Linked DNA regions of Neodiprion lecontei. The protein of the gene in region 1 binds, or shares a complex with, the protein of each later gene. Links are inferred from orthologs where the notes say so. Each region holds a gene or a part of one and is shown in the gene's direction. Other genes may lie near its edges.

Region 1 (16,479 bases):
TCCTGAAAACTTTATACATAAAAAACTGAAAAGAGCAATCTACAGCTGTACTGCTCATGAATTCTTAAGCTGTTATAAAAAAATTGCGTCAACAGATTGAATAAATGTGATTTCCTCCATCAGTGGTGGGTGATGAAACTGACAACGTCATCATTTGTGGCTAAGAGAGTTTACTCATCACGCGGAGGTTCTGTTGTCAAAATTGTACTTGAATAGGATAATAGCGATATGAACAAATATTATCAATATCTGCCATGTGCAAATCATTGAACATTGGACATTGATATTGTGATTGTAAAAAGTTTGATATCATTAACATCATTCGATTTAACATACTTACACCAAAAGATTAACCATCAGCCAAAGTGAAGCTGATGACAAGAACCGCTCCTTTATCGTCCTTCAACTGTTCAAAACAAAAATGAAATTAACCAAGGCTCACAGAGGATAATGGATAATTAACAAAGCAAACGTGCTGTCTTTTGATCAAACAGAAGTAAGCGTGTACGACATGTATCCAACAAAATTTGTACAGACAATTTCTGAAATGTCTAAAATTGCAGGAAGTTTCAACATGGACTTAAAATACGTACCCAAGTGGAGAGAGATTCAATGTTACAGATTTTCAGCGGTTTTTTTTATTGTTATTATTAAACACGTTGATTCACTCATGACAGGAACCAGTCCTATATAATGAAAGAAACAAATTGCAAACTTACTGTATGAGGCGAGATCAATTTCATCCGGAAGTTCAGTGATGTTGACGTCGAATCTTTCTTGAACGTCGTTCAAAATTTTTGCATCTCCTTCATCGCTGACTAATGTAATAGCAAGACCCTGTATCGCAACAAGCAAGAAAAAAACTGTCACCACAATCATAATTGTAAAATGGAAGGAGATTCTGAATCGATCACGTTAAAAAAATTCCGCATAATCAGGAGAGAGTTCAAGAGTATATCATGGCGTGAATCAGTTAGAACACATGTTTCATCATTAAGCGGAAAAATTAAAAGGTTCAAATCTAAATGATGCGATATTATTCGACTTACTTTTGTACCAAATCGTCCTGCACGAGCTACCCTGTGAAGGTAAGTGTCGGAGTCTTCAGGCATATCGTAGTTGAAAACTATGTTGACTCTTTCAATATCCATCCCACGACCAAATAAATTTGTAGCAACCAAGATACGCTGAGTACGGATAAATATAGTCAATATCAAGTACGATAAATATTGTCGGTATTATCGCTATTTATCGATATAGTTCTTGCGAATTCACAATGGATGGTAGATAAATAGATAGTTATTTTATCCAGTTCAATATTTAATATGAAATATTTCATTAGAAGGACGTAAAAACTGTTTAAAAAAAATTTTACCTTTTGAAAATCTTTGAATTGTTGATATCTTGAAAGCCGTTCCTCCTGGGTCATTCCTCGATGAATACCAATTGCTGGAAAGTTTTGCTCTGTCAGCAATTGAGCCAGGGCCATGCATCTTTGCACGGATTTCACGAATATCACAACCTATCATAAATGAAATTTTTAAATTGAGTTAAAGTGTAGAAGGTGAACTTAAAAAGGTTAGAGTATTTCGCCACAGCAAATTTTTGCAATTCAGAAGTGAAAAATAAACAACTACGTTTACTTGACTTTGTATGAGTGATGCATTATATCACATTATATATCTGTATTAAATGAACATATTTACATTCAGTGAAACAGGCTTTTTACGCTAATGTAGGGGACAACCTGCAGCACTCAGCACAAGACACCAGTCCCCTTAATCATGGTGTCCAGTAAAATATCTGTAATACATTCGAGGACTCCCAGTAAAAAAAAAAAAAAAAAAAAAACACGAATGTAGAGGGCAGGGGGCACTGTATATATAATCAGCGTGACGTATGAGATATACGTTATTTCTGTTACAACCTGTTAGTAGGGGAAAACGAAAAATGCGATTCAAGGCGGGAATTGACATTATAAAAACAATTACTCAGTGAACACAAATAAATATATCATTCACTGGCACACTTCAAAAATAGTATATTTCCAGGACCACTGGACACCATGTCAAGTAGGTCAATGGGGTTGCTTCATCGAATCTCTACGGGATATACAGGGTCCATCAGTAGTGGGTGATGGAATGATGGAGTCATCATACTTGGCTAAGATAATTCACACATCATTTGGACCCAATAGTAAATCCGCCGTACGTGTATCAAACGTGTCTAAAGAAGTTACTCAAGCGATGCAGGTGTAATTTATACAGGTAAATGAATGCGTATGTCATGAAAAGAAAACAATCGTACCTGATTAAACTCTAGAACATCCAACAGTTCAAACAATTTCTTATTCTTCTCATTCTCCTTCAGCTTGACATAATGCTGTTGTAGACCGTGTAAAGTGAGTTTGGCCTCGTCGTCCACATACACCTCCATCGGCTGCGCAAACAAGGTATTTATAAGACAACCTACACTAGCCTGATCTAATTCCAGCGCATATGGATGCCCAAATACTTCACAATCCGTGATCCACGAATCTATCGATTCAGCTTGAAGTCTGTTTCTCTCTATCAAGCTATGGTATCAAGGTAATTATAGACACGTATCAGACCTCGTTAATCTCACTGGACAGCATCTTTTCAGCGTTCCGGTATCGCAACATAGAGAAAATGAATTGGTCTTTTCAAAATACCAATATAAGTCAAATATGTGATTCTTGAAGAATGAAGATTAAAGTGAACGTGGACCATACCGAAGTTATTTAATGTCGCGCAATTATAACCACTGTTTGAAAACAAAGTAGAATATATGATCTGATATGAGTTTGTGTTCCAATATAAGAGAACTGAAACCACTTCATCGCTCCAATGGTCAGGTATCTGAAGTACAATTATTTACATACAGGCTCTGGGATAATCTGGCAGTTGGGTTTATCACACTAGTTACATACGGTCAGGCGATTCCATCTCTCGGCATTAGCGCCGACACAAATAGAGTGCGCACCCAGGAACGCTCAGCCACTCCCATTGCTGTAGTCTCCTTCCCGTAAACTTTCACTTCTCAAGCACGTGAACGGCATATTGGCATTCGCCAATGGCATTGGCCCATACTGTAGGGTTTTGTGGTTGACATGCTCGCTGGCTCAGAATCTTATTCATCAACTTTGAGCCATGAAAATAAACTCGAACGTTTTCTAACCGCGACGACAGAAACAACGCAGCACCATGTTATGTTTTTGGAAATCTAACGCGAGATTTGCTCTGACGAGTTGCTGTTTTGTAGTACCAATCAGTAATGCCGGACAGATACTAAGAGTCTAAAGTTATCGAGCTATTGGGTGAAGCCTCCGACATTAGACTTTATCCCTATCTAGGCGCGGTTGTTTCCCCAAGTGTCCTCTTGAGTCTTCTTTCTTGCTTTCTTCTATCTTGGAAGCGATGTCTTGAGGTCTTCTTGGCCCCCCACCCCACGAACCCGTGCGAGATCAATATTTTTCTTATGTAGCAAGAAACGATCCATGTGTTGACATCAGCACACTTCTGTTGGTTGTAGCGCGTTACAATTATGACAGAGTTATCATCTTTCCCGTGTTAACTAACGTGGTATTGACGTTTATAAAACCATAACCTGAATGCGATTGAACGTGACGAGATGGGATTCACAAATAGATGACTATGGGAGCAAGATTCATTGTTTCCAAGGTTTGAAAGATCGTTCTTATGAAGGATGCATGGACTTTGGAGGTCTGTTGATCAAGATTGATTTGTAGGACGTTTATGCATCGTCACGTCAATTAACGGTTCAACGCGACGATTGTTTAGATTCAACGGAGGCTTCTCCTATTCACTGATGATCGAGGAAATGTTTTCAACGAAACTCTGTTGCTACGACTGTTCGCGAGCGCGTCGTCAATTAACGGTCGAGTCTGAGTGGAAATTCTCCTCAGACGTTCGTTTGGACGAGATCAACAATAATTTGGTCTGCCTAGCTAGCCTAACTCGCGGATGTGCGCAATAGAATATTCATGGCACGGTCTGAGCTCAGTCCTGGGTAAACGCAGAGCCAACGAAGAAGCGATCGAAGATCGAAGAGAGGAGGAAGTTTTTCTAATTACATCTTGCATGAACTTCTTGCAGACTGGACGTATATCCTTGGACAGGGTTGCGCTGAACATCATCACTTGTTTGCCGTGCGGAGTGCTCCTGAATATCTCTTGAACGTCACGCCGCATATCTGTGGTAAAATCGACCATTAGTATGCTAAAATTGTCTTCTAGTGTTAAAGAGTAGATATGGCTAGCAATTATTGTCAGAAAGTGGAATGCTTATAAGGCAATTTTTGACGCATTACGCAAATAGGTTTCAAAGATCAGAAAAGGAATAAGCATAGCATAAAGAGTCAATTCTCACCGAGTAATTCCAGCATCTTATCGCACTCGTCTAAAACGAAGTGTTTCAGGTGTTTCAGATTGAGTTTCTTGTTGCGCACAAGTGCGAGAATACGACCAGGTGTTCCCACCACGATATGAGGACAAGTATTTTTTAGTACCTCTTCATCTTTTTGTATCGGTAATCCTCCAAAGAAAACACCCACCTGCAAGTTAAGAATTTTTTGATGTTATTACACACTTATGTTAGAAAAGGGTGGGAAAAAAAAAAAAAAAAAATTTATAAAACCCGTCCTGTTTAGATTGTGCTTTAGAATCACCTTGACAGCTGGCATGTATTTACTGAATCTCTCGTACTCCTTGCTGATTTGAAAAGCCAATTCACGGGTGTGGCACATGACCAAAACGTAAACCACATTCTCCGTTAGTTCCAACTGTTGTAAAGTTGCGAGCACAAAAACAGCAGTCTTTCCCATACCAGACTTGGCTTGGCAAAGGATGTCCATGCCCAGAACTGCTTGTGGGATGCATTCATGTTGCACTGCAACACAATAATTTTGCAACAATTTGCTTGTTAGGCCATGGTCTTGTATGGAGCTTTAGAATGATTAAGAGTGCTAAATCGAGTCAGAATACAGATAGATCGTTCATTACTAATCAGATGTCCCTATCTATAATATCATCATTCAGACTACAAAGTATCTCCCAACCGCTACCCCCTTAGATTGTTAAGTAACGGATTGAATCTGGGAAGGAGAATTCTTATGTAAGTTACTTGTACAAACATTCTAAAAATGTAAAATCTTCTGACCGACATATATCTATAAAATTATAATACCTTCGGATGGATGCTCAAAACCACAGTCGACAATGGCACGAAGTATCTCTGGTTTGAGGAGGAAATCACGAAACCCGCTGCTATGAATCGATACATATGTACCTTTGACTTCTTTTTTTGCAGATATGTCTCCGCTACCATCTACCACTTGTTCGGTTTGCTCATCATCCTCGTAGTCTAACAAGTCTTCATTGTCTGCCATTTTTTTGTATTATATTGACGCTTCCTGTATAAAGTTTTTTTTATATATATATAGTCCATTTTGTGATTAGAAACCAAATGCATCCTATAATATCTTTAGACGATGTATGTACCATTCAAGTCACGTAAAGTAAGTGAAAATCGAGTTCGATGGGTAAAACAAGAGTCTCTTTGGTAGAAGCAGAACCATTAACCAGAGCAATGTTCAAGCTTTAATTCTTGGATCTCGCATATCACGTCTGAATAATTGGAAATAATCTTCTGATTTAAATAACGTTTAATTTACTTTTCCATTACAGAACACAATTCTGTAAGTTTCTTCGTATAAAAAAAGTTTTATTGAATAGTTAGGAATTATAACATTTCATTATCTTTCCCCGTTCTAGCCACGTACACAGTACATGAATTTGCATTCGCCATCTTGTGTACGCGTCCGCACCGCTATCCTTCCATAACGTAGTAGACGAAAAAATTTGGAATTACGACCGCGAGCCACGTAGAAAAATTCATCACAGTAACTAGGGCCAACATATCAATAATTGATGCACAAATATCCGTGAAACTAATCGCTAGTTTGAAACTGGAACATTATATGAATATCGCCGAAAAGGAACCTTGTGAACGGAAACCAGCTTGGGGTGACCAGCACCTGCCGGCACCATTTCAGTGATTCGACATTGTTCGACATACCGCCATTACCGTCGTTTCGCTCATCTTCAGCAAGGTGGGCATATCAGAATATATTTGATTGAATATTGAATGGCCGGAGATATGTTCAGATACAAATATGATCGTTAAGCCTTCAAAATTAACAGCTAAATCAATTTAACGGCGATAATATTACCATAACACGCAGAAGACACAAAACTGGTACGTAGTATCAAGGATTAACGTTAAACAACCGCCGCGAATGTTAGCGTACAAATATAGTGTAATTTCAAAGAAACAACAATATCAGCTAAAAATTAAACAATTATTTTTTGCTTGGATCAAAGGATCGCGTGTTTTAAATAAGATTACAGTGATGAGAACCGGGTGCGACAACTTACCTCAATTGAAAATGCAAACTATGTAGGGTACGAGCATCAACTACGAAGATCAGGAAACGTCCAGGAACGGTGAGCTCGGCCCAGAGAGTGGGAAAACGGATGACGCGACAAGGGCGAACCGCTGTCCGTAAAGTATACAAACGTACCGGAAGATAACTGAGCAACGCCGGAACCGCTATACTGCGGGGCAAAGAGGATTACGATACGCGACTTGTGTCCCCCGACTCACTAGGTGACGCTCACGGCGACGGCTACGCAAACCTTCCACGGCTTCCAATCTGCCGAATCCTCTTTGCTGCGCGGCATAGATTGAATTCACGAGGCTCGCTGTCTTTAAAAATTCTTAGTCAGTGGTTTCCTGTTGGCTATCCCGGCTATCCGCTATACCTATTTATTATTACCCCCACTCTCCTGTACACTTGGTATACATTTATACCTATGTTGATCACTGATGTTTATAATCCATTTGTTATAAATTCATCGCGACGACTCCGAACATCGTTCTCCATCGTTGTCATCGGTGCCGAAGCTTTTGGTTTGCTGTTAACTGCTGTTATGTTCCAATTGCCGTATAATTTTTTCTAATTTCCTACAGTGTTGTCCTATACTGCATTGCCCATCGGTCACGCAGATCCCCGCAGACTTTTATTGACAGACAGGAATACACTAATTATAGAATTGTCGAAAATTGCGATGGCTGGTGCTTGCGGAATTAAGTCATCCACTCATCAGCACTAGGAACCTAAAGATACAACGTTCATAAATAAAATTGTCTGTGGTCTTGGTCAAAGATGGACGAAGCAAAGTTTTTAAAAAGGTAGAGTTTTTACTGGCTGATCAGCCTTCTATAGATTATCCTCCGATGCAAAATTATATGACAATGACAGCTGTCTCTGGAACATGTCCGGATAGAATAGGTGAGAGAACAGGAATTATTGTTCATTTCTTCCTTGCTCAGGCTGAATTTTTCTGTTTCAGGAAAGTGAGATCCGGCAACTTGGATGTTCATCCAACTGAAAAGGCTTTGGTAGTCAATTACGACGTGGAAGCATTGATTTTAGGAGAACTTGGTGACCCTATGCTAGGAGATCGCAAGGTATCGATACTCCACCTTCCCAGTCTATCCTCAACATAACCGTTGTCGACTATGCCCACACTGGACATCTATTGCATGTACCGACTCCCATGGAACTAGATTTGTGTTCTTTCATTGATTTCTTATTCGATGAGTGCACGGTATTGATGTGTGTACCTACTCATCAATTTGATCGATACATGGCAATAGTTATATATCTATTACTTGTTATGTATGAGTTTGATCAAATACAAAGTGTCCTGACGGTGTGAACATGGTCGTCAATGATGAAAGTACAAGGGTAATCACCTTGTTAGTTATAGGTCAGATTATATATTCACATGTATCGACCAATATTTTAGGAATGTCAAAAGATAATACGCTTGAAAAGTTTGAACGCTGATACAAACGTAGCTCTCCTCGCCAAAGAAGTTATGGAAAAATGCAGTTTGATTCATGGGTCCAAGTTACGAGAAGTTGAACAACTCATCTATTATCTGCAAACTCGTCGGACCAATGATGAAGGTAGGATAGTTCAGTGGAGAAATTTTTTATTCATATTCGTATAATTTTATTGATGAGTTTCTTTTAAATTGTTCTAGTTGAGGATGTGGGTATACAACTTTCACGGCCAGCATCTTCTCATGCAACAAACACAGAGCGCAATGTTGACATCGAGAGAGCCATTATTAGCAACATTGACAGTTATATTGAACTTATGTACGAAGAGATACCAGGGAAAATTAGGGGTTCGTCTCTAATTCTACAGCTCGCCAGAGTTCCGGACAACTTGTTGGAATTGACAAAGAATGGTCAGTAACATGAAATGAAAAAGATATCAAATATATCGGGTATTCCCCCTTTTACTTTGTACTTTTTTAATACATTGCAAAACAACGATACAAAACAAGAGAGTACAATCAACAAGACTTGTGGGAAGTGATTTGGTTGAAAAATGTATCAAGCTTCTACAGATTTTCCTAGTGGTATTTACAAATTCCTATTTTCTCTTGTTCTCAGAATCCCTACTGAGTGCACTAGCGAGAGTTCTGAGAGAAGACTGGAGACGCAGTATCGAACTATCCACTAACATAGTCTACATATTCTTTTGTTTCTCAACTTACAGTCAGTTTCACAGCATAGTACTAGAATATAGGGTAAATTCAAAACGTTCTTCTCTCTTGTATAACGAGCAGCTTGTCCCGTACGTTTCAGATTTATAAAATTTTGGATCTATTTCATCAGATCGGCTCTCTATGTATGGACATAATTGACTTCGAGCTTGGGCGTTATGACCAGTGGAAAGAAGACATGGAGAAACGGCGTCGTCATTTTGAAAGTACAACAGGCCTCTCGCTTTTTCCTACTGAAATTGGTAATAACTTGGATAAAAAAGCAATAGTCGGCGATGAGATCTGGAATGCAGATGGTCCCCTTGACTTTGAAGTTAAAAGAAGATCCGTCGAATTGACAAGTTCCGCTACGGACGTTGATGTTAATAAAATGAAAGAGGACATTGAAAAAAGTCGTAAAAAGTTTAAAAGTTTGACAAGAAAACAGGAACAGTTATTGCGAGGTAGGTGACAATGCTTTGTTCTTAAAGAAAGAAGCTATTTAAATATGCATGTACTTTATGTTTAGTTGCCTTCTACCTATTATTGAACATTGCGGAGAACACAGAAGTGGAACGCAAAATGCGTAAGAAGAACGTCATTGGGATGCTCATCAAGACATTAGACAGAAGCAATACGGATTTGCTGATATTGGTTGTGACTTTTCTCAAGAAATTGTCTATATTCCGCGAGAACAAGGACTTAATGGTATACCTTAACACCTGTGGCTCACAATTTTAATCATTCAAATATCCTCTGTGTTCTCAATTGCCAAAGTTGCATTGAACTTCTGTAATAATTTTAGGCGGATCTGAATGTAATTGAAAAATTACCGAGGCTACTACACAACAGTAATTCTGATCTAATTCAAAGCACTTTGAAGTTATCATTTAATCTTTCATTTGACACAAAATTGCGGTCAAAGATGATACGGGTAGGACTGTTACCAAAGCTAGTCACGCTGCTGATTCAAAGTAAGTTGATTGAAGCATCATACGAAAGTGTATCCTACGTTCTATGCGATGCGTCTTATAACAAGTCTGCTTTAATTTCCTTCCACAGGTGAGATCAAAAACAAAACTACAATACTCGGCTTGCTCTATCATCTCAGCATGGATGACAAAGTCAAGTCTATGTTTACATATACAGATTGCATTCCTATGGTACGTAGTAGGCAGTTACTTCAAGTCACTACTAATCGGGCCAAGGTACAGATCTAAAACATTGAATCTTGATATGCATAGGTTACCGACATGATTTTGGTGTCTAATGATAATCAAATAAAACCGGAGTTGACTGCATTATGTATAAATTTGGCCGCCAATAAACGGAATGCTCAGCTAATGGTCGAGAACAACATTTTGCAGGGGTTGATTCGTCGTGCATTTAGAACTCAAGATCCGCTAGTGATGAAAATGATACGAAACATATCACAGCACGATTGCACCAAGGAGAGTTTCATTGTGGGTATTCCGTAGGAAATGTATGAGTATTTAGCCATCCACTGCCTTCCTTTTATATGACAGACTTTGTATGTTACAGGAATTTGTTGGCGACTTTGCAACGGCTCTGACTCAATCAGAATCGCAAGATTTCGTGCTGGAAATTGTTGGAGTCCTTGGCAACTTGACACTTCCGGATCTTGACTATTCACAAATACTACGACGATGCAATCTAATACCTTGGATAAGAAACAACCTTGTGCCTGGTAAACAATTTCTGTTCTGTACAGAGTCTAAAGAATTAAGATTTGGAGAGCGTTTTTATGTGATTGTCGAACGCCAAAGTTGACATGCTCGTGTACTTCTTGGTAGGTAAAGCCCAAGACGATTTGGTACTGGAAGTAGTAATATTTTTGGGTACGGCAGCTTACGACGAAATGTGCGCCCGATTATTGTGCAAGGCCGATATTTTACTGTCCCTGGTGGAATTACTCAGAGGTTTGTTTCAGCCAGAAGGCAATAATTTAATAAATTTATAATTCATTCCGTCTACGCTTATGACTACAAAAAATTCTCTTCATAAACAGCAAAACAAGAGGATGATGAAATAGTACTACAAATAATCTACGTATTTTATCAAATTGCTAAACATGATTCTACAAGAGACTATTTGATTCGAGAGACTGGTAATGGTAAGTATATTTATTTTCTATTGATGCTTTCAAGTATTGCTACAATCCGTGATTGACTCGTTCGTCATTTATTTCCAGAAGCCCCTGGTTATTTGATAGACTTGATGCATGATAAAAATCCCATGATCCGAAAGGTATGCGATGCCTGCTTGGACGTTATTGCGGTAAGTTGTTTGTCGAAAGTTGTTCCCTCTTGTTTAAAGCTAGGACTAGGATTACACCAAAATAATATACTCGATTATTTCAGCTTTGCGACGAAGACTGGGCAGCTCGAATTAAAGTTGAGAAATTCCGATCACACAACCAACAATGGTTGGAGATGGTAGAGTCTATTACATTGGACCCTACAAATCACCTCATGCCAGACGAAGACGATAGCCTCCCACCATTTGCTAGTGGAGATCTTCTCAAACATACAATGCTCTTTCCAACCAGTAAATAATATTTACAAGCATTAAATATATTCAACATACTGTAAAGCGTGGAAACAAATTGTTTCAAAATATTTCCGGCAATTGATTTTGAAACGACGTTTAATACACCTTCTTTCAGGTAATGCTGCTTTGTTTAATGCAGACGATGTCGATGTTGTGGCTAAAAGCTTATCGGATGCTTCGGAGAATCCTAGCCGACCAGTCAGTCGGTAAGTTAAGAAAGATGGGCAGCTAAACAAAATTAACCGCAGTGATTTGATAATTACTGAAATACAATTTAGGTACACTAGAGATTTAGATGAGATGGGTGAACTAACAGCTGCCCGCTCCAGGTCCCGACTGTCCATTGGTTCTGGGATTGAGGACTTGTGTGTCTCGAAAATGAAGTGTAATGAATTCAATGCCTCTCACGTACTTATATAATGGCTGGTAATTTGAATAAATTTCTATTGCTGATCTCATTACATTATCACGTATATAGGTAGATATACAAGTAGAAGTAGCGATACGTTAAATTATTTATTCATACTTAGATATTGTACACACACACACGCATATACATATTGATTTATTTATTCCCTTTAGAATAACATTGACATTTGCAAATGTTATAAAATATGCAGACTTGCTTTTCTCTTGTTTTCAATAAAGCAATATTGTTTGAGAAATGAGGAAAATAACTATCTTACGATCATAGGTCCAATCAAGTTCCAGGTGATTAATCATCATAGCAACAATAAAATGCCCATGGATGTTTGGCTTTCGCCAGAAACCGGAGCTGGAATTGATCAGGTTTAGTTGTTACGGCAATCAAAGCTCAAAACTTGACAGTGTCTGTTCGCACGGTAGAGCGATTTGCAATATACAGAAGATGAATGTGATAGAATTGGAATCAGTCAGCAGCCCACTGTACAAGCATAGCATAGCTCCACGTTTTGATGATTTGCTGGCTAACTTTAATTCAACTCCATTGGGATCACTCTACAGTGCAAATAAAAACAGAGCAGAAACTTTGAACTCTGTTGATTGTGAAATTAAACTCTTTTATCTTACAGCATGTATCTTACAGTTATAAAATAAGTTTAGATTACTTATTACAATTATTTTGGACACATCGAATTGTCTAAATAAAAAACATTCCGCCATGGCAGAGCTGAGGCCGCTTCAAGAATAGCATATACGATGATTTTGCTGTATTGACTATTGCCATCGATTATTATCTAGATGTGGAAGCGATAAGACAGAGATTCAAAATTATGAGAAATTTCAATCGATGACAAGTGAACACGTGTTTGCTGACTAAAGCGCAATTCTACCGGGTTAGTAAAAACAAAATACAGGATAAATGGTTGATGGTAAGGAAATTATACATGTTTGGTTTTTCTCTTATCTAAAAATGATTAGTTGACAAACCGTGTCCAAGTGCACAGTTTGTAGCACGACGAGGCATTCAGTCATATTGAAACAACAGGTGTGTCTGCCAAAGTGAGATTACCCTGCTAAGAGGAGATCCCGAGACTGGTTGTTACTCAGCTTATAGAATGCTGCAGGAGCTCTTCTCGCGGAAGGGGTTCGACTTTTGTGAGGAGAATCCGACTAACAGGCAGTCCTCTTGCTCGTGTTCCGTGATATATTTCATTATATCCTCGACGGCCTTGCTGACGGTGATTCGCCTGATCGCAGCCTCGCGACGAAGCTGCTCGGTAACCTGACGTTGCTGTTGTAGATTCGTAACCATCATGTCCATAACAGCCGTATCGGACAGGCCTATTGTTAGGGCGTGGCGGTACACTCGGGCGATGAAACACGGCCTAGAGGCCTAAGGGTTTCGCAACGGAGACGGTTTCACGGCACCGATTCCAGGGGTGAGACTTTACGACTTGGTTCTTGGACGTTGTTGCGAACTGCGGGCGTCGGTCGACGGAAAGGGTTGAACTCGATCTTCGGTAAATTGCCGAATCGCTCGCCACTGAACGAGTATTCTTACTGCCGTTGGCTTAGTGAAATTTGTACGGAATCCAACAGAGCTTGCCGACTATGACCGATCTATGTATGCATGTGCCTACACACATATGTACGTAACGTACAATACTAAACACTTTAAAATAGCTCCGGAATGAATATGTGTGTACAAGATTATCAGCAATCGCGAGTAATGGCGGCTTCCTGCGGCTTCGTACAAAAGGTACAAAATGTTCGTTTGACGCACGAAGTTTGACGGCGACACGATGGGGGTTTTTAAAAGTGCAGTGGCACTGACTAAGGACTATTAAAGATGGTTTACCCTAACGGGATTTTATGTATCTTATGGGATTGCTTGTCAAACGGCCTCCACCGATAAAAAAGTTATCGGATTGCCACACTGTTATCCTCATATTTCTATGCATATTACTGACGTTCACACATGCATTTTTTGGCTTTTTTTACCTCGCAAGCCAGAAACAGATAAGGGAAGTTCCCAAACTGGCACGAAATCACAATCACGAAATATTGTTTATAGCTGGCTTTCTTTAGTAGGATATGCAATGGCTTCTCAACGCTTCCGGTTTCCATTCATCGCTGCTAGATGTTCGAAACTTCTGCGCGACTAAATTCATAAGCAAAAGTTCATTTCATTGGGTAAAATAAATATTTCTCAAATGGATTCTTTCCATGCTTATGCGTGGAATTAAATTTTTTGTTTCTCCGACGGCGGACAATTTGTGCAGTTGGTATGCTGCGAGCATTGACCAGAAGTTGTCTGTTCTTGCAGTTTCGAATCTATCGCCGGGGGTGCGAACGTTCCGCAGTTTCAGTTACACCAAATTTGCCATAAAAATCATGCCATATTGCGTCTTGACGGTTTTATATTGAGTACATGCTGATCTAAGTGATTTACATGGCGATTTCAGGTGACTAGAAAGATAATTGTGAGTGTAAATATTCGTTATTTTAATATACAAATCGGTTGAAAAAAAACAAACATCACGATGCCCGTTGCCCGGTGTAATACCGAAGGATGGAAATTTTGTTCGTTATTTACACATGTATGTATACTGTACAGAATAGAGATGAGAGTATTTTCGCGTAATATTGTAGGAAATTTGTCGGCAATAGCTAAAGCGCATTGTAATTGGCATTCATCATCAATGCTTTGTGAATGTCTTACTTCGTGGTCAACGGACTTCGGCGGGATTCGTGATTTATAATGGCGGCGTTCTGGGTATAAACAACTGACAATCGGTGGAAAATTTCTCTTCTTGCCGCCAATTTAACGGACGGGTTTTGGCGTGCCGTTACCGTATCGTCGTTAATTGTAGTTATTGAAGTGAAAGAAATGTGAAAAGTAGCCGTGAATACTCTGTTTTACATTTGCAATTTTTCGCATGCAGGGATTCAGGCCACAGAGGTATGAATATAGCACAACTGGCATTGCGAAGTCGTTTAGGCTATGGAAAATTCACCGTGTCAATTTTCAATTGTTGCAAGCTAAACTCAGATAACATTCGAAATCATTTACACAAGTCCCAATCCTCTGTACTCGATCGTTTAATCAAAATGTAGTCTCGATGAATCCTAACAAGTGCAGCGCGGAATTTAGAAAGCAGTTTTGTTCTATTTGTGAGGTGAAAAATTGTCGTGAGTTTTCCATCGGTGATATTCTTTGCCGTTTATTCAGTGTTTTCCATAGAACTGTAAAATTTATTCAGTGTCTTCCACGGGAATATAAAATTTATCCAGCGTCTTCTACAGGAATATAAAATTTATGCAGTGTTCTTAAGAGGAATATAAAGTTTATTTAGTGTTCTCCACAGGAATATAAAATTTGTTCAGTGTTCTCCACAGGAATATAAAATTTTTTCAGTGTTCTCCACACGAATATAAAATTTATGAAGTGCTTTCCATAGAAATATAAAATTGGTTCAGTGTTCTCCAGAGGAATATAAAATTTGTTCAGTATTCTCCACAGGAATATAAAATTTGTTCAGTGTTCTTCACAGGAATATAAAATTTTTTCAATGTTCTCCACACGAATATAAAATTTATTAAGTGCTTTCCATGGAAATATAAAATTTGTTCAGTGTTCTCCAGAGGAATATCTAATTCACGACAGAAAGGATGCACTTCGGATGGTGAGGCTGGACCGATTATCAAGTTGCAGCATGGGTGAGTCGCATGAATTTAAAATCACTCATTATTTCTGGCTGTTAGCTATTTGAAAATGTTCGGTGGTACCATATCAAAAGTGTTGGAAACTCGCTCTTGTAATTTAGTCACTAATGTCACCTATAGGTCACGGCGGCAAAAGTTTTTAAGCGTTTCAAATGTTGGCAAAATTCAATTGGGCGACTTTTTAGCTTAGTCTGATAATTAATTTTGTTGAAAAATTAATGGCTTGTAGATTTGAACTAATTTTAAGGTGAACTATTCAGCTGACAAGCAAATGTCCGAGTCGGTGCGCATTAAGATGATTTCAAAATAAATATAGTTTCTGTTGCATTTTTTCCGAATCCAGAAATATTTTATATTTAATTCTGTTGAGACAATTTTTAACACTTAACTTTACAACAAACAGGATTAATTACTCAGCATATACTTTGCGTAATTGAAGGGAAACTAATTAGTTTTGAACTAGTATCTGAATATATAGTTTCCATGTTGGAGCTTTACATATCATTTGTTAAGAACAGGTTCTTTTGTTCCTCGTTTTTACGGTTTTGTTGAAATGTGGGGATAATCTTACGCCATTTATAACATATTGATTCAAGGTGGACTGGATCAGTTAAGATTTCTTTATAATATACATGAACCTTGTATAGACTGTATACTTTATCCCACGGTGTAAAGATATATAGGTGTAAGTTTGTAAAATTCACTAGCTGGCAATACTGAGTCGAGCTCGGAACGGAAAAATACATTGAAAGCATGATTTTGTTCGCAACTTTTTAATCGGACGACAAAACGTTTGGCTTTGATGTAAGCTGCTTTGATTTCTCACCATCATGCACTCTATGCTCGTGAATACGATGTATGTATGTACGTGAATCAAAATATTGAGACACTACATGGGGCTAAAACGTGGGTCGTCGTTGATGAAATTTCTTCACTGAACGTTGCCAAAGATTCGCGTATTATTTTGAAATGGCCGAAAGAGCGCCGATCTTCCAAGGCACGGAAGTAACAGCAGTGCCCTACACTTACCGACTCAATCGAAACAAGTGCGTAGTTTGTTCGTTCACCGCAAAACTACCGTGGCACTGCTGTCGATC
Region 2 (14,402 bases), on another chromosome or scaffold:
GATACGAAAGTCGCTTCAGAGATTGTGGTAAAATCGTACATATATAACGATAAGTTTTCGCGGTTTATCTATTGAATGTCGAGTAAATCCAGCAAAATTTTGAGTCACTAGAATTATAAATGATATCATTCGAAGAATACGTCTTGTGCGCTTGAATAACTCAAATGTTCGGTCAATGCAAAAGATTTTTGTAACGACAAAATTCATTAGCTATTTCAACCATTGATCTCTTGACTCGACAAAACGTGAATTAAAACAAGCTCAATTTGTTTTGGTACAACAATTTCACATTTTTAAAACAAAACCATTGAGATGCGCTCAATCAAATTTTCAGTCATTTCAATCTCACATTTTCGCAACAAACTCGCGCCGTGTTGTCTTGAATAACTAGATAATCAGCATGATCATTCGAAGACTTGATTCAATTCGCTATCAAGTTGTCGCAAGTATTTTATTGAATTGAGCAAATATCGGCTTCGCCGTATTTGACTATAGCGCTTGTTTGAATCAAGCGAATCATCACTCAACTCAAACAATCCTTTCCCTCCGTGTGTACAAAGACTTACGGACGAAAGTAAGAACCATTTGACCTGCGTAGAAGGAAATAAAGGAACGGAATACATAATACACCGTACAAGACGTACGCCTCGGCGGTATTCCGTTGAGCAATACTGCAGACGCTAATTATATTCAAACGCAGGTTGAATACCTACGCGGAGGGTCGAGACTACAATACGTGGATGAGAATGATAATTACGAAAGCACGCGGCGCGTCGCGGGTTGCGTATAGACAGGCGATATCGTAAAACGGCAACGCAGTCCGATATGTTTTTCTACGACGACGATAGTAAAGTCGAGTCACAGAACTTTAGCATAAAACTGTGTGTATACGGTGTACGGCATCCTTACACGCATTACACGCATATGTATGCAAGCTGGCGCACGCTTCCCGGTATATATTAACATATGTTTTAAATTTACGAAGGGACTGGTCCGGGGCCCGTTAACGGTTAAGTCCCGGTTAAGCAACCGCGTTACACCCGTAACATTACAGCTTCAGCTTACTTGCACCGACTTGCTTCGATCTCGTTAAAAATCTGAACGTCACATTCGGTGAGAAATTTTTTTGCCGAAATTTCGCGTCGAAATAAAGAAGAGAGCGGATGATCGAACGAAAAATGGAAACCAGTCATCGCACTCATCGCTGTTCTCGTGTCCGAGGATGCAGGGAGTGACGAATGAGGAGTGGAACGGCTGGTTCTTCCCGGTTCTTATAGTTTAAAGACCGTTATGGGTGCGAGTCGTCGTCGTCGTCGTTGTCGTATTAACGAAGTCGGAGAGCCGGCTTGTTGGGCGGTTTTTTTCATCTCTTTTCGTATTATTTCTTTTTTTTTCTCTTTCTTTTCTTTTACTACTCCGTTTCACTCCATTCTCCTTCTTTTCTACTATTTTCTTTATTTCTTTGTTGGGCAACATCTGTCGCACGCTGCAGGCAGGCAGGTAGGTAGAGGTAGGTAGGTATAGGTGCAGCTGAGATACGTACGAGGTATATGGTATATTATGTATATATATGCATGTATGGATACGCGGTTCCCTGCGATGTGTGCTCTACACGTGCAGCATATACACGTAACATCTTTACACACACACACACAGAGAGAGGAAGAGAGGGAGAGAGATATGTTCTCGCCGTGAACGCAAGGTGCACCGATCCCTACGGGGTGTCCGAAAAATATACCCGCAACACTCGACGCTACGCACGATATTGTGCGAAACCCATCCTCGTTACACGATCTGATATTATTTATAACTCGGCGGGTCTGCGTCAAAATACTGCCTATAATTTCATGCGTGGGAGATGTAAATAAAAAATCAGACGGTTTATAGAGCAGGGCGAAAATGAATCGGGGAATTTTCTTTTTCTTTTTTTTTTTTTGCTCCGATTATACACAGTAACCTGGTTGAATGAATTTTTGACCATTAGCTTTTTGTCGGAATTAGTTTTCGTGGAACGAATTTACCACTCTGTATACCCTGTCGCCCATCAGGTATGTAAATCGAATGACTTCCGGAGTCTTTTTACACCGTGTGTATTTCCCCTATACGCTGCGTTGCGGGGTATTATACAGCATTATATTGAAATACACGACTAATTTTAATGGACGAGGTACAGAATGCCGCGGGAAATGTTTACATCGAGTTTTAAAAAGCAGTCCGACAACTAGTTTCGAAATTCTTAAACAGTTTCAACGCCACCGGCCGTGAATAGTGATTATCGTTCAGACGGCTTTTTATACGAGACTCCACACGTGGGTATCTGGGGTGTCGTTTAATTTTTAATTAGTAATCTTAATACAGAATCTTAGGTTAACGCTTGCTTATCGGCTGATATGGATAGATGTATAACGATTTGAGAAATTTATATCGATTCTCTTCGTTGTTTAACCCTTCGTCCCATCGAATGTCATGCATCGATGCGCGCAAAACTCGTGTTTTTACCGATGAAAATAATTTCTACGATGTCCTATGAATTTTTTAAAAAACTTTGGACATTTCGTAGAATTTTGTACAAAAAATTGTAAATATGCATAGTTTCTCATAAATTGTATGTTTTAAGTAAAAACAATCGCAAGATACTAAAATTTTTAACGAAAATTAACAACTCTTTACTTAAACCTATGCATATTTTCAATTTTGTACAAAATAATACGAAATGTTCAAATTTCTGTAAAAATTCGTTGTATTAGAAATTTTTACCAGGGTTAAGATGATATATTAAACTATAAATACAGGAATAACTCACGTGCTCAGAAATGTTGTTCAGTTAAAATTTCTATCTGTTGTATGATTTCCTCGTCACGTGTCATCGGTGCTTACTATAACCGGCACTAATTCCGTTGACGGCATAAAACACTGAGAAATCCACTCGCGCGACTCGACTTACGGATGATTATTGTCGAAACTCCTGGTGTCTGTAAAAGCGGATACAATAACGATGTATAAAAGACATTCAGTACGGACAGATACGCAGATATCCACATCGATAGTCATAAAAACGGCACCCGCTCACCGTGACCACCGTGGCAACACTGACCTGGGACGACAGAATCAAGTTACAGAGAGTTTCTTCTATCCCTTCTTCGAGTTATCCCCGAGCAGAGGAGTCCTAGTATTTCCAGTCTCAGATCGACTTATCTCTCTCTCTTTCTTTCTCTCACTCGCTCTTCGCTCGCTCTTCACTCGTCAGGGATCGACTCGAACCGATCAACCGGCTTGAACTCCGGTGACGAAGCAACCCCGAGCAGCTAGCTACGCGGCCTAGCTTCTTCCAGGCTTCAGGTGGCACTCGTAGAAGCTGTTTGGTGATCGGTGAAACCGGCCCAACTCCCATAAGTCCCCAAACCGAAACGTATGCGCGCGTAACTCATGCGTAATCCACGCACGCCGCGTCTCTCCGTTCGTTACGGAGAACAGGATTTACTACGAGTATAACTAGATATACGTTCCCTCTCCCTCTCTTATATTTCCCTCGCACGCTGATCCGAGAGAGCTTCTTATAATAATTACGACTGAGAATAAAATATCCTACTCCCGTAAGCAAAGATGAATCGTTATATAAGACGGCTTGCAGGCGCCACACTTGCGTCGCTTTACAAGCGACGTTAGCTGCTGGCTGAGGCTGACTAAGGGCTTCGTTCAGCCACGGGGTTGATGCACATGTGCAGGGAACCCCGTGTGTTGTTCGCATTGGGGGTACGGGAAAAACCGAGGGGAGTGAAAGAGCCCTGACATCGAGTGCCAATGAACGTCGCCGGGCGTGCATATATACGTCTGTGTGTTATTCACGAGTGAATCGTGAACGTGAATCGAACCCCCCCCTCCATTTCTTTCTCCATACGTAGGACGAGAAGAGGGCCCCTGGTGCTGTACATTCTTGTCCGGTCGTATGTGGCATGCCTCCTAGATATGCGTGTGTTTATTACACGCTTTGAGCGCAACACTCACTTCGACGGTCTGGTCTAAGGTCGGTCTATTTTTGTCAAACGAACAAACGGTCGCCAACATAATCAAACTATTTCTGAGATTGAGTTATCTTTAAACTGTATATATTTCTGTTAGCGAACTGGGATGAGAGATTTTGTTCGATAAAAAGTCTACGGACGTAACGTCGTCTTTGACATTGCAGGTATTTTGATTTCAGCGTTCCTTTATTATAATAAATAATGTCGTATAATCCTTAAAGTCCCGGTACGTGAGGACTGATCTATATTTTGAAAATAATTCTCAATCTCAATAATTTTCAATCAATTGGCGCGAACTAAGTGAAATCGTACTGTGCTAAATTGAGCATGATTTCAGTGTAGCTCTAATAGGTATCGCGTTAAATAATGCTACAATTTATTTGACAAAATTTAGGTAAATAAATACATCAAATTAATTTTTCATCCCAAAAATTTTCCACAAATGTTACTCAATGAATTGTGCATATGATGATAATTTCCTACACACATTTTATTTGTTCAACGATATGATACTCAACTAATTTTGAGTATGTGTATAAATATATGCGTGAAAATACTCGAGTGAAATTTGAATTTGATTACAGTTAGACCCGTTTAAACGCTGTGCTGTTCACGCTTTGGTCTTATTGTCAGCTGCCCCATTTCAATTAAGATCCTGCACCTAGTTAACAAACACATGGCGCACGTATGTAGGGTGGCTAGCAAACAGGGGTGCGTACAGCTTCTGGTGCACAATGAACGCATCGCCATTGCCCGTATTGTTTCCCTACGAATTACGCACAATGCCGTCATATACACTCCAGATTGGTACCGCGATATTGTTTCAGCTTGCCGAAACGTAATAAAGAAAACCCCAATCTCTCACGCGCGACTCCGGCGCAAATGCAATTTGAATTTGAATTTTAACTGCATATGAAGGAATCTACTTTTACATAACGCGAGCATGTTTTACGCGTTATTTCATGCGTGTTTTTCGTACAAAAAGTGCTAGTCTATTCTATCACGCTCGAGTGAATCTGTGAATGCGTTTACGAGGAGTACTGAAAAGACCACTTTTAAGCCCTAGGAGTTTAAAGTGGTCTTTTCTAGACCGCGCGCATGCGCTGTCGCGAATGAATCTGACGTTGTGCGACCCTAACCTCAATTTCGTGCTTCGTGAAAAAACGTGTAACATACACTTGTTACATGAAAAATCGTGTGCAACGAGAAGGCAACGGTCTTTTCGCCTCGCATATTTGCAATATTCGTCTTCGACTTCACCTACGACTCATATTGCAAACGTACGCTCGGCCTAAAAAGACCGAGTTTGCCCGTTACACAATATACATTCCAATTGGCAGAACATCTGATTTACCGACGGACTCTAAATGACACAATAAGCTATTAATGATTGAAGACAGAGCGCGCTGTCGGCGTAAAAAGGGTTTGTGATTAAAAAAAATCGATTCGATTGTTTGAGGCGGTGTCGTCTGCTCCTGTCACTGTCATTGCGAGGAGCGTATTTCCCTGGCAGACTTAAAGTCGTGATATTGTACAGTGAGTTAGAAATTTATAGAGCGATTTTCAAAGGATAATGGAAGGACCAGGGGTGAGTTTGGTAAAATTATTCAAACGACGTTCGTTCTCATCGACCGCACTGATTTAACACGAAATATACATTTCACAGGATAATGCTGCGGAGCTGGGAGAGATTGAAAACGTTAGAGTGGTCGTTCGTGTTAGACCACTGAACGGAAAGGAGTTGGACGGTCACTGTAAGAATATAACAAAAGTTGACTCTCTGAACAGTGAAATATTGGTCGAAAATCCTCACGCTGCTCCCGGGGAACCACCAAAACTGTTTTCCTTCGACGCAGTTTTCGATACAGACTCATCACAGGTTGACATATACAACGAAACAGCCCGGCCGATCGTCGACAAGGTTCTTCAAGGCTACAATGGGACGATACTTGCTTACGGGCAAACGGGAACTGGTAAAACCTACACCATGTCTGGCGCCAAGACTTCCCCACAGCTAAGAGGCATCATTCCGAACACCTTTGCCCATATATTTGGCCACATCGCTAAGGCTGACGAAAATCAGAAGTAATTACCAGCCGCGAGTTATTCAATTTGATCATGTCAATTGCAGAATAAATATTTACTGATAATTACGTGACTGAACTAAAATAATATGAATTTCATCTCAGACTACATTTTTGCAGGTTCTTAGTTCGCGCTACATACTTGGAGATTTACAACGAAGAAGTTAGAGATTTGTTAGGAAAGGATCAAAATACTCGTTTAGAAGTCAAAGAGAGACCGGACATTGGTGTATTCGTTAAAGACCTAAGCGGATATGTGGTCAATAACGCCGATGACTTGGACCGCATCATGACCCTAGGAAATAAGAATCGTGAGCCTATTTAATCGCTGTTCAACGGCTATTCCTAAAGACACAAAGTCACCTCAAGATAATCCATTATTTATTTAATTTAAGGGGTTGTCGGCGCAACGGCGATGAACGTTTCCAGTTCTAGGTCCCATGCGATATTCACCATAACTGTCGAGTCCAGTCAACTAGGCGACGATGGAGAACAACACGTTAAAATGGGAAAACTTCACCTTGTAGATTTAGCTGTGTGTATTTCTTCACAGTATATAGATCGAATTTTGAATTGCTAAATTCCAACATCGAAAGTACAGCGAGATTTAAAACCTCGATATTTCAGGGCTCAGAGAGGCAAAGTAAAACCAAAGCGACAGGAGTCCGTCTGAGAGAGGCTACAAAGATTAATTTGTCTCTGTCGACACTGGGCAATGTTATATCCGCACTTGTTGACGGACAAAGTTCACACGTCCCGTACAGAAACTCTAAACTAACAAGATTGCTGCAGGATTCGCTGGGTGGAAATTCGAAAACTTTAATGGTGACTATTTACCCAGTATTCGTGATTGTGACAATTTCTTTCTTGAATGAACAATGAACCAAATTTGAATGGATTAATGTTTTTCGCAGTGCGCAAACATTAGCCCTGCTGACATGAACTACGATGAAACTATAAGTACTCTAAGGTACGCCAATCGAGCTAAAAATATTAAGAACCGAGCTAGAATTAACGAGGACCCCAAGGACGCCCTACTTCGCCAGTTCCAAGTTGAAATTGAAGAGCTGCGTAAACAACTCGAAGAAAATGGTACAGGAGTTTCTGAGTCTGATCCCGAGACCGAAGATTCTGATGATAATTTTGAGTCAAAGTGTGATAGAAAAACCAGACATAGACAGAGCCAAATACTTTCAATGGATCAACTTGAAGATGGTGAAGTAGAATTGAGAGAAAAAATGGACAAGGCAGAGAGGCACGACAAAAGCCCAGATGACAAAGATGTCATCGAGCTAAAGAGAACGCAGTGAGTTTTTATGTTCGGTATGAAAAGAAAAATAACACCCACAATAACACTTGATAATCAATATCAAATAAAAACTGTTCATTTTTTGTCTTAGAAGCGAGAAAGAAGCGTTAAGGGAAAAAATGCAAAACTTGCAAAACAAAATTCTAGTCGGAGGTGAGAATTTATTGGAAAAAGCCGAGGCTCAGGAACAGCTACTCGCGGCATCTGCAATTGAGCTGGACCAAAGAAAGAGCCGAGAAGAACAGCTGAAGAAAGCTATTGAGGAAAAAGAGGCTGAACGCATAGACATCGAAGAGAAATACTCGTCCCTGCAAGAAGAGGCTGCAGGAAAAACAAAAAAATTAGGCAGAGTCTACACCATGCTGATGTCTGCCAAGGCGGAATTATCGGACTTGCAACAAGAGCATCAGCGAGAGATGGAAGATCTCCTGGAAGGTGTACGAGAAATTGGACGAGAATTACAACTGCACGAACTCGTTCTCAACAACTACATACCTGTTCAATATCAGGTAAGTAAACTGAGGTACAGAAAATTAATCATTATTACCAACTTTGTCCTGACCGGCATAATATTTTCCAGACGATGATCGAAAGGTACGTTCATTGGAACGAAGACATTGGGGAGTGGCAATTGAAATGCGTAGCGTACACAGGAAACAATATGAGAAAAGCACAAGCCACACCTTCGACCGGAAGCAACAAAGATGTAAGTGGAAATTGTGATTCTAATCGAAAGCTTGGAATATTGACAAACTTGCATGCTACAATTTCTGTTACAGCAACCACAGCCTGATCTCTCTAACATCTACCTTTCGTACAACACGGGCACGGAAAGCAGTCTTGCCCAACCAAAAAAGTTGAGAGGTCGGTCGGGTGTTCCGAGGCCGACCACTGCTCATCGACGACCCCCTCGCTAAGCATTATTTTTAAGCAAAACCATAAGCTAGATATTTATTTTTCATAGTGTATTTTTTTTTCTTTTTTTTTTAATTACCACTTTATTTAAAGAATTGGTATCATTTTAACGGAATGGATACGCAAGGACTCGATTGAGAGGTAGTTTTAGCACGAATATTAGCACATTATAGAACTCGTTATTGTTTATGTAAAAACTGCTTTACTTTTTATGATACGTATTATAGGTAAGGATTATAAATTATTGTTCCTGAATTATTTTATATTCATATACAAATGTCTGTTTGACGAGTCAGTAAATCTACGTAAATCTGCTTTGATTGCTGATGATAAAAAGTATGAAAAGAAATCTTCAATTCGTTGTACAGAATAATTGTAACATCGAGGGAACATCTGATGCTTTGCAGCTTAATTTTTTAAATATCTTTTTTTAACGACAAGATTGATGATCTGATTAGTAATTAATATACGTATACTGCAGCTTTTTAATAGTAATAAATCCGACGAATCACCAGCAATATGTTTTTACATTATTGCAACAAATCTATGTCGATAACTTTTAATCTCTTTTCTCAAATTTAGTTAAAGTAAACTCACGAGCAACGTGTTATTTATCCACTCATGTAAAACCATTTATATCCGCAATTTGAATAAACAAATCGTAAATATTATAAAAGATCCTATTTCTATTAATATTTCAAATTCAGTATGAAAACTTTCCCCGTATTAATATAAGAAGCAAAATTATGTCTTTTATCAAACACTTATAATTTCATGTTGTACTGTATTTTTATCATCAATAGGTACCCAATGCTCATGAATCCACTTTTTAATAAAATTGCAGTGAATTTGTCGCGTCTGAATCACGCTAGATGGATCATGGGGATTACTTGCCCTGAGATCTAGATGGTGAGCGCCTTCTGGTATGAGAATTGCCACTGTCGACGACGAAACGTTTGATAAAACTCCACCAGTTGACCAAGGGTCCAACAATCCATTACTGAAAATTTTATAAGTAATGCAATAATTGATGCACGATATGAAGTCACTGTCAGTTCCAAGACTAAATAAACAGCAAACGCACCTAAACACGATGTTACTAGCTGCAGATAGATCCTGACATCCATATTCCTCGCAGGCTAGATAAGGCTGGGGTCTTGACTTGAAATTCTGATAGCAGTCGTCGCTAAATTTCTTAAAATCCCAAGGAATTTTTTCGAACATGTCATCCACGCCATTGGTACACATGGGCATGACCATCTCTGTGCAAGATTGATACGACCACCCTTTGCTATCCAGATTTGGAGAAGAGTTTTCGCTCACAGATAAACACTTGCTGTTTCCTGTGCCATTTGTAAAGACACTAATCGCTTTGTTGAGATCAAGAAGAAGCGCCATGTCGTTCTGATTCGAGTTCGTCAAGTAGCTGCAGACTTTCTACACGAGCAAAAATAATCATAGATATACATGTTATTTGAATTTGGTTCAATTCTTTTACTTTGAAAAGAGTGAAATTTTTCATATCAGAATAGAACTTACGGATATTGGATACGCAGGTAATGGCGCTAAGAAGTTTGACGCGTATGGATAGTTTACCATTGCTAAATTTCCGTAAATATCGGTCAGAAAGTCCTTCAGCACTTTGATGTCTGATGAATTTTTCAACGGCTGGCACAATTTCCAATTTTCTGAAAACCATTTCCTCCCATTTTCTGTAAAATAAATTAAATTATTCTATCCGTGAAGGTGTCCCCGCCTGTAGGAAATAGCAGATATAACTGATGCTAATAAAGTAATATTCTGTCTCACCAGTTGAGGTAACGTTTGCGATTGCTGTCCACGATTTGAGAATTGTTTTCGGACATTCTGGATGCGCTATGCGAAAATCTGATGTGACGACTCTCGCAAATGCGCCGCATTCGGTGATACCAGTGAATTGTAGGATCGGAGCCGAAGCTGCGATTGCTCTGAAATTTTCAGGTGGATTATTTATCGCATTATTAGCAAGGCTTAGCATTCAAAAGAGACTTTTGCAACTATCACCCTTTTACAAGGTGTGGATACTTCATCCGCATCCATGCGCTAAGCATTCCACCGTAAGAGCCTCCAAATACAATGACAGGGCTATGTTTCATGTTCGAAGCAGATTTTAGAAAACTTATCAAGTCAGCGTAATCAGCTAAGGCTTGTTGGCTTGTTAAATATCCGAGATGACTAGAATCTGAATAAGATTCGTTACCAAACGGCATAGATTTTCCGTAATAGCGATGCTCAGCAAAGATTAAACATGCGCCAAAGGTTGGTGCAATTTCCCACATAAAACCCTGCAAGAAAATAATTGGATATCAGTATCAACTCTGCACATAATTCAAAACTTGTACAAACAAGGGGCAATGCTTTAAACTTGCACGGAACCAATTTGTAATAAGCTCACTGACTTCCAGAATAATCGGCATGCAGTGATAGAATTTTCAACATATAGTTATAACGCTAATTGTTTACGTTTACTGTGCAATCTCTCACCGTATTTTGAGCAAAGAGTTCGATGTCCCCTTCATTTCCTGTGTAAAAGAATATAGGTGGATCATTGCCCCTCTGCCATGTGTCATTAACGAGGTATCGCATCTCAAATGTAGCGTTCATTGAAAAACTGAAATGATCGAGCTGGAAAAAAAACAGTTGTCAATTTCAACGGTGAGTTATTCTTTGTAGTTAAATAAGAAAACAAATTACTGACTGATTACAAGATACAACAAACTTGTTCACTCACGGGTACTCGAAACTTTTTGATCACAAAGTCATACTTGATGTCTTCTACTGCCTGGTTTTGAGCTGGTTTAAATTCACCATATTCTATTGAGCTAGCAGAAGTAATGTAACAACAGAATAATGCATTTATTAAACCAAAAGCAGTAGGGAGATCCATCATGATCGACTGCTCGAGGAACACTGAGGTTGCAATCACAAACCAGTGAACGTTGACCTCTATCAATCCTCAACACATACGTACAATGATATGAATGTGTTCGTGACGTTCGTTCGTGTTTGTATATCTGTATGTTATCCAATTCAAATAAAGGGAAATCAAATATAAACAATAACGAAAAATTATCTTTCGATAGCTGACAAGTGTTTGAATGGCTTGTTGAAATGAACAAGTTAACATACTTGGGATCTTAAAACTACAGATTCTTATAACGAGTCGTAATATAACTAGAAACATTGGATTGTGCATGAAACGAAAAGAAAATGCCAAACCAAAACCGCACATTCTGAACACAGACAGGATGTCGCTTTTACTGATTAGTATTAGTTAGAATCTGGTATGACATAAGATGTTTATTACAAAAAATAAATTAATTCATTCTACGTACAAAAATACATCGTAAGTAATTAATATTAATAATACTCTGTATTTAGTGATGATTTTATAATAAATGATAATGATGATATTATTATTTTGTGACAGTATCGACACGTAATTAAACAGTATATATTATGCAATACTCTCTATAGTTTGGTTGCTGAAATTTCCAATCCAAACGACACGATAGATACGTCACTGAAAGAAGAATAGATTCTTTTTCAAATTGCCACAGTTAATGAAAATTTAGTTCAAAATAAATCTACGAAAGTATCGATTAATATAAATATTTTTTTTCCTTTTCATTCTTTTCTTTTTTCCCATATATTGAATAAATTTTTTTCTTTTCATTATTACTTAAACGAATATTCATATAGTAACAGAGGCATAAATTTTTATCTAAAACATAATTATCTAGTCTTGCAGATCTACAGTAATTAAAATAATTGATTATAATAATGAAAACCTGCGTGTACAACCTCATCCAATATTAACGAGCCAAACTCAGTGGTGGCTACTGGTGCTTATAGTACTGTCCCGACATTCTCTGACGGATGGACAGTTGTACGACGCTTGTTATTAATATCTTAAGTATAAAAATTTATAAAATTTCAACTTTACATGATATAAATTTTATAGAAATGATTAATATTATTTTTAATATTTGTATCAATTTGTGATTTACAATTACAATTTCCTACAAAGTACGTGACCAGGCACTTTGCCTGTTGTTAATTATATAGAATTTTGCAATTATGATTGCAAAACTTATAGAGAAATGTAACACTTATAATAATGACTATCGTATCGTTTGATGTATGGGCAACCGCAGCGACTGGTAATATTATTATATATATTTGAAAATATTGTTCCTAAAATAAAATCTCTTCTAATGATGTGTTGTACAATAAAGTGCTTTAAATTAAACTAGAATAATATATAATTAGCCTCTTCTAACTAAAATTTATCATAAACTACGGAAAGCTCTACCAGAGGTAAGTGGAATTAATACATACTTCAACATTTATTTTTGTACTTCATTTTAAGTCTCATTTGTTCTAACTGTTCTTCATACTGACTCTCGAGCTCCGCCATTTTTGTCGATACTTGTTTCTCTTGAGAGCTCACTATTGCATCAACTTTTTGTTGTACTTGATTCATGGCTCTTTTGTAACCCTCCTTGATCCTTTCGCATTCGCTTAGAAAGAATTTTTCTTTATTCTCCGCCAATTCCTGTAAACCATGTCAGTTTTAAAACCAGAACTGTAGACGTTTATCGTTGGGTATACCGAATGATATCCCGAAGGTCTTACCTTATAATTTTGAGCAGTTTTCCTTGCTGACTGATACTTGTGTTTCAACATATTGATATTACTTTTCATATCTTCCTCCGTTTGTTTTAAATCTTTGACTTCTTCGGTTAAGGCCTCCTCCTTTTGCTTCAACTTTTCAATATCTTGATTCATTTCAGCCTCTTTTGTTTTGACCGATCTAATTTCCGATGCCCACTCGGACATTACTTGGGCCATTACATTTCTTTGTTCTTCCATATCAATTTCTCTCCTTCTTAATTCCTCCAGCAAGGATTCTATCCTAATTTTTCTCGCCACCAACTCATGATGCATCTTTTCCAGCTTTGCTTCTATCATTTTTGCTATCGTTTGTTCCTGCGCCTTAAACCTCGACTGTAACCGGAGTCTTTCTGCGATCATAGTTTCCTTTACTGCTTCAACCTCTTCAGTCTTTTCTCTGCACCTTGACTGCAACTCTAACAACAGGGTTTTATACTGCTCTTCAATTTCCTTTTGTCTTTGCTTATGTTGCTCTTCAATCCCCTTTAATTCGTCAGTCACTTTCTCCTCCATTTCTTCCCTGACCTCTTTTATGGCAATTTCCCTCATTTTTTGTAAATCAGCATCACCTGTCAAGCTGCGAGGAGAGTTGTTCAATTCCACTGACACTTGCATTTGACTCTTAACGTACCGTTCAAATTGTCTTGCCTGATCTTTCAGTTTAACTACGAGCTGATCTCGTTCTTCTTTGAGCATATTAATTTCTTTCGATTGAAGTTGAAGCTGCTCATCGTTGCGCCGTGACTCATTAGCCAAAAGTATCATTCTTTCTTCCGAGTTTGAATTAACATCTGTATTGCCTTGCAACTGTTTTATTTCTAAACTAGACAACTTATCCTTCAACGTATTTCTATCCCTCAAAACACTATCATATTCTTTTTGCAATGATTCATATTCACTTTGTGCACGTTCGAGGCTTTGCCTGATATCACTGGATTCCTGTAAATTCGATTGTGTACTTCTTTTGGCATTCAATAATTCTAATTCCAATGCAGAGATCTTATCTCTGCAGGAATTTCGATCTCTGGCAACATCCTCGCACTTTTTCTTTAAAGACTCATGTGCGATTTCCAACTGGGCTATTTTTAATCTAGCATCATCCAAATTTGTTTGTAGTTCCGACATTTTTTTCCTCTCTTCGACTACATTCGAAAGCTTTTCTTCCAAACGTTTGCAATCATCTTCAAGCTGCAATAGGATATGATAGCCATAAAGAGTATATTTGACTATAAATGTGCTCTGTATCATGAAAAACAATCTTTAAACAACATACATACCTGAGTAATTTTATCTACATGCTCAGAGCAGTGATCTGGTAAAATTACACTTATGTTACGGTTTGGGTAAGCATTACGC

Evidence for each region.
Region 2: the proteins of kinesin-associated protein 3 (region 1) and kinesin-like protein KIF3A are in contact, whole or in part, in a crystal structure (PDB 9IKB), measured with the Caenorhabditis elegans proteins. The link is inferred for Neodiprion lecontei from reciprocal best matches to the Caenorhabditis elegans genes kap-1 and klp-20. Residues at the interface, in NP_001367739.1 of Caenorhabditis elegans: Ile269, Glu272, Leu273, Val276, Arg277, Leu309, Ser310, Ile311, Phe312, Asp313, Glu314, Asn315, Lys316, Asn349, Phe350, Phe352, Asp353, Lys657, Ala660, Gly661, Arg663, Phe664, Lys665, His667, Asn668, Gln670, Trp671, Met674, Val675, Asp679; in NP_497178.1 of Caenorhabditis elegans: Tyr557, Ile558, Pro559, Val560, His562, Leu565, Ile566, Tyr569, Lys582, Ile584, Ala585, Tyr586, Gln607, Met611, Tyr612, Tyr613, Ser614, Tyr615, Arg616, Leu619, Ala621, Ser622, Thr623, Ala624.

What each region holds. Positions count from the first base shown.
Region 1 is NC_060262.1:132,578-149,056, reverse strand, and holds kinesin-associated protein 3, read left to right. Parts: upstream 1-6,849; 5' UTR 6,850-7,266; coding exon 7,267-7,292; exon of another isoform or gene 7,293-7,392; intron 7,393-7,453; coding exon 7,454-7,571; intron 7,572-7,912; coding exon 7,913-8,075; intron 8,076-8,152; coding exon 8,153-8,362; intron 8,363-8,570; coding exon 8,571-8,707; intron 8,708-8,795; coding exon 8,796-9,126; intron 9,127-9,191; coding exon 9,192-9,370; intron 9,371-9,467; coding exon 9,468-9,636; intron 9,637-9,724; coding exon 9,725-9,825; intron 9,826-9,906; coding exon 9,907-10,125; intron 10,126-10,204; coding exon 10,205-10,370; intron 10,371-10,476; coding exon 10,477-10,602; intron 10,603-10,691; coding exon 10,692-10,796; intron 10,797-10,874; coding exon 10,875-10,960; intron 10,961-11,043; coding exon 11,044-11,230; intron 11,231-11,348; coding exon 11,349-11,439; intron 11,440-11,511; coding exon 11,512-11,653; 3' UTR 11,654-12,349; downstream 12,350-16,479. Other genes in the region: ATP-dependent RNA helicase WM6, read right to left, coding at 393-406, 720-837, 1,050-1,187, 1,376-1,522, 2,308-2,439, 4,115-4,233, 4,410-4,593, 4,708-4,928 and 1 more; guanine nucleotide-binding protein subunit gamma-1, read right to left, coding at 12,765-12,977.
Region 2 is NC_060266.1:25,202,312-25,216,713, reverse strand, and holds kinesin-like protein KIF3A, read left to right. Parts: upstream 1-5,452; 5' UTR 5,453-5,595; coding exon 5,596-5,610; intron 5,611-5,688; coding exon 5,689-6,107; intron 6,108-6,211; coding exon 6,212-6,417; intron 6,418-6,501; coding exon 6,502-6,641; intron 6,642-6,733; coding exon 6,734-6,931; intron 6,932-7,020; coding exon 7,021-7,412; intron 7,413-7,506; coding exon 7,507-7,924; intron 7,925-7,995; coding exon 7,996-8,121; intron 8,122-8,194; coding exon 8,195-8,332; 3' UTR 8,333-9,008; downstream 9,009-14,402. Other genes in the region: lysosomal Pro-X carboxypeptidase, read right to left, coding at 9,087-9,330, 9,415-9,767, 9,870-10,042, 10,140-10,297, 10,374-10,654, 10,854-10,994, 11,101-11,259; centrosomal protein of 152 kDa-like, read right to left, coding at 12,712-12,927, 13,008-14,234, 14,324-14,402. UniProt on the Caenorhabditis elegans protein: Component of the kinesin II motor complex (composed of kap-1 and the heterodimeric motor proteins klp-11 and klp-20) which is required for intraflagellar transport (IFT).